Coturnix japonica: one gene and its partner. The protein of the gene in region 1 purifies or fractionates together with the protein of each later gene. This does not show direct contact. Links are inferred from orthologs where the notes say so. Each region holds a gene or a part of one and is shown in the gene's direction. Other genes may lie near its edges.

Region 1 (3,746 bases):
TTGCATTCCTTGGCATTTTGTCAGCCTTGGTACTATCTGCATGACAGCCAAAACCTGATGCTGATAAAGTTGCAGGGATTTTCTTCCCAGTGTCCTCCTCTGTGCTGCAGGCTTCAGTGCCTTCGCTATCAACTGCCCTGGGACCTTTTGCTCCTCCTGAACTTGCAGACGCAATCAATTTCTCCATTCCAAAGAAGAACACACATTTTGGTTCTCTTACACATGTATGGGCAATTCGCTTAGGTAAACCTACAGCAGTAGGGATTTTATAAAGTTGTCTTCAAAGCAGTCCCTCTCTGAGATAATAGCAGTAGTAATAATAACAGTAAACTAACCTGGTTGAATGTTTTGGAGCTGTTACCAAAGGAAATCAATTCTGAGCCTGGGAAAACTGTAACATTTGTTCTTTGGATTTTTGTTAGTAGGAAAGAGCTGATGCTGATTGTGGTCATTTCAGCTTGGGTGTTCTTGATGGTTTACAGATATATAGCTGAGCAAAGATACACAGCTGTAGAATAGGTTTCAAGTCACTTAATTGTAGGGAATAAATTATCAGTCCCCTCTTCCCTGAGGATATTGTCAGTCACTGTGGTGTGGGTCACTTCTGACTGTTCTTCCTGCCAATAAATCTTACATCTAATTGTCAAGGATTTAAAATTATCTGCAGCATCAGATTATAGCATACCTTATCTCATATCTGATGTTGTCTGCTTATTGCTGTCTGATGAGGGAGAAAAAATGTGCAGTAGAAGAGTTGTTTTAATCTCAAAGTGATGCCAGCCTTGAGAGATAATTGATAAACTGTAATTGTTGTTTTATCATTGCGCTATTTCTACGGTGCCTGTTTTCTTCCTTCTTAGAATATATTGCAATCTGGGGGGTGTTCAGTCCATTTAATCCCATGCAACCTTTACATAAAGCTGTAGTGTAGTGTTTTTCATTTAATCCCAAGTGTTCTCTTTTTTCTTCTTTTTCCCTTTCATTTTCCTGCTGATTGCTACGGCCATGCGACAACCATGGACTCGATGACTGACACGGTACTGCCTCCTGGGATGTGGACAACTTTGGTGAGTCTGCAAAATAAGTTTAACTTGAATTTTCTGGAGAGAAAAAAAGAGTGTTTGCTTGAGGGAAGGAAGAACAATGCTATTTATTGCCAGCTAGGCTTGATGAAAGCTTGATCTGTTTTGGGGATGTTGGTTGTGTGGAAGCAACAGGCAAAGCTTACTGAATTGCAACATGTTCTTTGGTGGATTTATATATATATATATATATATATATATTTCTAATTTTGTTTTATTGTTGGCAAAGGTGAAGGAATTAACGTGCAGCAAATTAATTTGAAATAGTGTCACTTCATATGATAACCATAAAATGACTTTGTGAAGCAGTGGCTTAGAACATTTTAATTCTTCTTTCCTGGCTTATTCAATTGTTTCTGTAAATAATTCAGATAGAAAAGTATGAATTCATTGGCTGGCTTTTCAGAAAAATACTGTGCAGTCCATTGTACTGTCCTTACTCTGGTGTTGCCTGCAGTGTAAACTTTTATAGGTGGTGTGCTGAGGATTCATCTGCATTAAATATTGGATCAGAATTTCCTATGGAATAAGATTTCCATCCCAAGTAGTCTCCACTCAGATATGTGAAAAAGAGCTCTGTCAGGATCACGTTCTTTACTTGAATGCAGATCATGTGGGGAACCACTGTTGCTCCCTGAGGATGAGATTCTGGTGTTTGGGTCTTTCAGTTGAAGATGACTAGGCAGCTGCAGGGAAAACATTTGCTGCAAATGCATCAGCTCTAAGATCTCCACCAGAAAGGCAGCTGGAAATGTCTGAGTTCAGCCAGCACTGTCCATGAGAGGAAAGCTGCCTTCGAGAGCTGGCTGGGGGTGGTTGGCAGCTTAGAAGCCTTGGGGTTTATCTCTGAGCTACTTACAGGTTGTAGGAGTGACTTGTTACTACTAAAGGATTCAATCAAGGAAAACAACTTGCCTCACCTTTCACCTGTGTGGGGATGGCTTTATTTAAACACAGGCTTAAGTCTGAGTGAGGAAGCTGAGAAGCCGTGTATGGTCTTGTATTGTGGTGGCCCTGTTCTGAGTGAGGTGCGGGAGTGAGCATGGGGCAGGGTGTGGGCTGCTCGCCATCAGGTTGCAGCTGAGTTGAGCTTCTGCACGCTCTTGGTTTTCTTTTTGAGTCCTCTGAGTGTATGTGCTCTGCCACACCAGTGTGTTGTACGGGTGCAAAGAGCCTGAGATTGGAAGATGGAACTAGAGCATAAGACTGTCTTCTCAGGTACAGCTTTGGAGAAATCTGAGATAAAAACTGATATTCTACTTGTGAGCATTTCCAGAGTATTGCTGTATAATCCTTCTTATTGATCTGTAGCTCATGCTGGAAAGCCCTGGTCTCAAGGCAATATTCATATTCAGAGTCCCGGAGGATAATGGCGCTAATCATGTTTTGTGTGACCTTTCAGACAGGATGAACATATGTTGCACTGCTGCAATTCTCTCGTTCCTTGGTTGCTTTTAGGCATCTTTGACTCCTCAGCAGTGTAGCTAGGAGTGCGGTTAGGAAGCCTTCTGCTTAACTGGTACAAGGTAATTCTGTGGCTGCAGCAGTGAGATCTGTGAGCATGCTGCTTCAGATTGCCACTCTTTGATGTGCTAAGAAGCCTTGATCAGCCTGAGACAGTAATAGCTCTTGTACACAGGAATGTAAATAATGCATATTTATCTTGACTGTATGTACTACAGAAAGCTCTTTAAGTCTGAAAACTACTGGAGTGCATTCCTTGTAGTTTTGCTTCAGTGTGCATCTCGCTTGCCTTTCAAGCTGTTTTGTAGTGTATGTGTACACCTGACTCTTGTGCTGCACCCATGTGAAGAGATGCTGTTTTGGTGTTTGGAAGGGCTGTAATTGAACGTTGCCATTACCAGTGCATATCAGAGGAAGACTGGTGTGATTACATGGATGAGCATTTCCACCACAGATTCTGTGCTTAGTTTAATTTTTCACTCTAGTTCTATGTCGTATTTAGATTTTTGGCAAAGTTGAAGTCTGTTAATCTAAATCAAAGACAAAAGTATAGCTTGCATAAGCAGGTAAATATCAAAGCTACAAGGGCTGAAAGAGTAGAACTGACTGGGAGTGATGGTAATGGGTTGGTGATCAGACTTGATGATCTTAGTGGTCTTTTCCAACCTTTATGATTCTATGATGCAATCCTGCCTCCTCCTAAGTGTTTGTAGTAGAAGGATAAGAGACAGAGGGCAAAAGTGGAAATGAGAGAAGTTCAAAAAGGTTGAAAGGAGATACGTTTTCAACATGAGAACAGCCAGGCAGCAGCACAGGCTGCCCAGGGTGGCTGTGCAGTTTCCATTATTGGAGATTTTTATGGTCCAGCTAGACAAATCCCTGAGCAACCCAATCTGATCTCAGATGATCCAGCTTGGAGCCAGAGGGTGGACTGGAGACTTCCTGAGGTCCCTCCTGGCCTGAATTATCCTGTGATCCATTAAAAAGCATCTGAATTTAGCATGGTCTTTATGCTTGGAAGACAAGTCAAGTAACAAGGTCATGGAGAGGAACGGCAGCAAGGCTGGTCATAACTTCTGTGGGAGGATGTAATGTGCAGAGGAAGGCAGCATCTAGCCAGGTTCCTTCTGGAATATCCCTGGCTTGAGCATCCTTTGAGTGGTTCGTTGCTCTCAGTTTTTAATTGCATGAAGCAGTTGG
Region 2 (3,746 bases), on another chromosome or scaffold:
TCCAACTTTAATGACTCTGTGATCCTATGAAAACATGACATCGGGAGCTCAGGATTCTCCTCACAGCCTGAGACTGAGCAGCGAGGCACCAGGACGCAGAGGGCCCACGGGTCAGAGGGGCCCTCAGGACAGGGAAATCGTGCCAATTACAGAACTACACACCCACCTCTCGATCAGTCCCTGCCCGACGCGGAATCCCATGCTCTCCAGTTTGGTGGTGCAGCGGCCGTTCTCCTGCAAGACACAAGGGCGGCCGCCGCCTCAGCCTCGGGGCCGGCCGCCGCCTGACGGCCTCTGGGGCGGGCAGCGGCCCCACTCACCCCTTCGCCTTGCTCGGCGGCGCGGTACAGCCCCGCCACCATCTCGTTGTGCAGCAGCAGGAACAGCGCCTCGTCCGCCATGGCCGCTCCCCTACGGGCGGCCCCCGCCCGCCGTCACGGCAACGGCCCGCAGCCAACGGGAGCCGCTGCGCTGCGCTGCACCGCCCCTTCCGGGAGCGGGAGGGCTCGGGGCCGGGACTGGGAGAGGCGGAGTGATTCTGGGGCGGGTATGAGAGCGGGGAGAGCGCTGATGTGCGGTGTGTTTGTTTTACATCGCCTTCAAAGCGGCACTTTATGTTCAACCCCCATTTTCTGCCTCTGTAAGATGGCAACCGGTGTGTGCCCCGGTGGCGCAGTGGTTAAAGACGCCGCCTTGCAACACTGGGGCCCGGGGTTCGAATCCCCCCTGTGGCGCAAGTGATAGAAGTGCCGCTCTGCTACACAGAGGCTCGAATCCCGGGGGTTGGACTCGATGATCTCTAAGGTCCCTTCCAACCCGCACGAGACTGTGAGACTATGAGAAACCGGCGGGGTGCAGCCTGAGCGGCCGCAGCCAAAACGGCACCGTGTGCAGTGAGAACGGCGGGCAGCGGAGGGCGAACACAGCACAGTACAGTACAGTACAGTACAGCGCAGCGCAGCGCCCCGCGTGCTGCCCCGTTACACGGGATCACGTTACGCCGCGCGGGAGCGTACAACGCGGCTGCCCGCTGTAACGCCCCTCCTGATTGGTCCGTCAGGCACAGAGGCTGTGGTAGCTCGAAGGTGATTGGCTCCCACCGCAGCAAAGCGACGAAGTAACTTCTCGTTAGCCACGAGAGACGTCGCTCTGGCCCTCCCGCTTTGTGATTCGCAGAGCTGGCAGGCAGCGGCTCTCGGTGATTGGCTAAGAAAGATGTCAGTCTGTCTCTGAGCTTTGTGATTGGTGGCCGAGTGCAGAGATTCTTCCCACGGGGGCGTACCCTCTCTCTTGCAGCTCGCCTATTGGCTGTCGGCGTTACCCGCCGCGGGGCTATTGGCTGCGCCGTCCGTTCCCTCGCGGAGCCGAGTGTTGGCTGCCGGGCGGGGCCTGTCCCGCCGTTACCCAGCGGTGCCTCGCGCCGTGCCCGGCTAGGCCGCGCGGGATGGCGGTGGCGGTGCGTGCGCTGCAGGAGCAGCTGGAGAAGGCCAAGGAGAGCCTGAAACACGTGGATGAGAATATCCGCAAGCTCACGGGCCGGGACCCCAACGATGTGAGGTGAGGGCCGGCTTACCGGGCTCCACTCGAGGAGGCCGCCCCCGCACCCCCGGCGCCACCCCGGGCCGTCGGGTTGCGGCCCCGCGGGGGGTGGGAGGGCGGCGATGGGCCGGGCGGTGCCGCTGAGCGATGTGCTGTGTTCACAGGCCCCCGCAGAACAGACTGCTGGCCCTCTCAGGCCCTGGTGGAGGTAGGGGGCGAGGGAGCTTACTGCTGAGGTAAGGACATGCGGCTCTGCTGCTTTATCGCGACTCCGGGTTGTTATCTTTGCGCGTTCTGTGTGCCGGCTTTGATCCGTGTGTTCACCGTAAGGGATCGGGAGCTGGAACAACGCAGTCAAGTGGGAGGCCTGCGGGAGCGCCCGGGGGTCCATAGCGGTGCCTGCAGTGCCCGGTTTGATCTTGGTGCCTTTTGGTGCGATTCCAGCTGTTAGCCTTAAAGTTAAGGAGGACCTCCAGAATGAAGGGAGGTGCGCTCTGGTGTCCTGGGCCTCCTTCCTTTGAAGTGGTGCAAAATCACTGTCTTGGTAATTAAGAAACTGGTGGTGTTTCAAAGGAGAGTAGAAAGAATGGAAGTCACCGGGATTCATAAAACTCACATAGGGGGATTTCCTTTGTGAATTTACCTTTTCTGCCCTCTTTTATTTCTCAGCTCCATGGTAGAGCCAGAATCAAGAACAGACTCATGTTCAGTAGTTTCTTCTTACCTGAGTACATGGGACGTTTCTTTAATTCTTTTAAATTTCAATATCAAATTGTTGCTGAGGCCTTAACACTTAAGAAAATGAAACTTCTTGAACCTACTGAGGTAGCTTGAGTGCAGCAGCTCCTCTGAATAACTTTAAATGGGTTGATTCACAAACAGTGCATTTAAATACATTATTACTGCAGTAACGTTGAATGAGTATAGAATTGAGTAAAAAGTGTGCCTTGTTCAGAGATCACGAGTGGTTTCCTTTCAGGCGTGGATTCTCGGATAGCGGAGGAGGACCCCCAGCCAAACAGAGGGATATTGAAGGGGCATCCAGCAGGTGGGTGGAAAGATGGATGTGGAGACCCTGCTTTTACTGTGATTCTTGCACAGTGGAGATACTTAAATGTATAATTCTTTCTTTCTTTCAAGGGCTTATGTTGCCTGTGGAATCATGGGGGAGAGAACCATATGGGGAATTAAATAATTCTGTATATTTATGAAGGGCAGAAAACTCAAAGGTGTTGAAATCTGTAGCAAGTGCTGTAGTGAAGAGCACTTTTCATCCTTTAGGGAGGGAATTTCTTGTTCCTCATCCATTCTGCACGAAGCTCCTCCTTTAACTTTGTGGGCGTATTTGATGCAGGCTGTAGTGTATTCTTCAATTTTCTGAATATAGTTACAGCGTTAGATGCCAAATTCTAAAAGCCTGATTAAAAAACTTATGCTAAGCAAAGCAGAAAACTTATGCAGAATTTAATACAGCAGACTGCAATATTAGCCCAGACTTGTTTAACAGTAGACACAAATCGTGACTGGGATTTCCCTTTCATTAATCTTAATACCTCCTGTGTGACAGTTTGTGCAGAAATTGGAGGCTTTCCCAACTGGATGCAGATCCATCAGATGTGGCTTTGGCCATAGGGAGCTGCATTTTTCTGAGTACTTAACATGCAGTGGTAAATCTTGACAAAAGCAATACTTGCTTTTGAATTTTTGATTTATACAAAATATATATTGTGAAATGCTTTACTGGCAGCAAACTGCTATGCCCCAGAGCAAAAGCTGAGAATAAGTTTAATACATTACTGAGCTGTTATGTGTTAAAAACCTCAGGTTATCCAAGGGCTCAGGTCCCTGCTAATTGCTTTGTCTGTCCTTAACTGATTTTCAGGTATTTGCCTAGGTAACCTCAATAGCTTCTTGAATTTGAGAAAATCTTAATCTCCATATCTTAGAGTTAGGGTACTATGAATAGGCTGAGGCTGGACTTGATGATCTTTGAGGTCTTTTCCAACCTGAGTAATTCTATGATGCCTTGATGCTTCTAAATCAAACTCATATTTCTCTTACCCAAATAAACGTTTTAGATACTCTGGAAAAAGAAAAGCTCAAATGAAACAAAATCCAAAGCTGTGCTAAAAAGTCAAATAGTGCAGTAATGTGGGTTCATCATTTTTACTTTAATACCAAAGTTATATTAAAACTTAAATCACTTT

Evidence for each region.
Region 2: the proteins of EPB41L3 (region 1) and PNN purify together in Homo sapiens (co-immunoprecipitation; 3 studies listed by BioGRID and IntAct, with this or other methods). This does not show direct contact. The link is inferred for Coturnix japonica from reciprocal best matches to the Homo sapiens genes EPB41L3 and PNN.

The regions. Positions count from the first base shown.
Region 1 is NC_029517.1:90,254,142-90,257,887, forward strand, and holds the start of EPB41L3 (band 4.1-like protein 3), read left to right. Parts: upstream 1-953; 5' UTR 954-1,067; intron 1,068-3,746. UniProt on the Homo sapiens protein: Tumor suppressor that inhibits cell proliferation and promotes apoptosis. Modulates the activity of protein arginine N-methyltransferases, including PRMT3 and PRMT5.
Region 2 is NC_029520.1:34,113,633-34,117,378, forward strand, and holds the start of PNN (pinin), read left to right. Parts: upstream 1-1,343; 5' UTR 1,344-1,444; coding exon 1,445-1,557; intron 1,558-1,703; coding exon 1,704-1,775; intron 1,776-2,518; coding exon 2,519-2,587; intron 2,588-3,689; exon of another isoform or gene 3,690-3,746. Other genes in the region: TRAPPC6B (trafficking protein particle complex subunit 6B), read right to left, coding at 167-234, 321-401. UniProt on the Homo sapiens protein: Transcriptional activator binding to the E-box 1 core sequence of the E-cadherin promoter gene; the core-binding sequence is 5'CAGGTG-3'. Capable of reversing CTBP1-mediated transcription repression.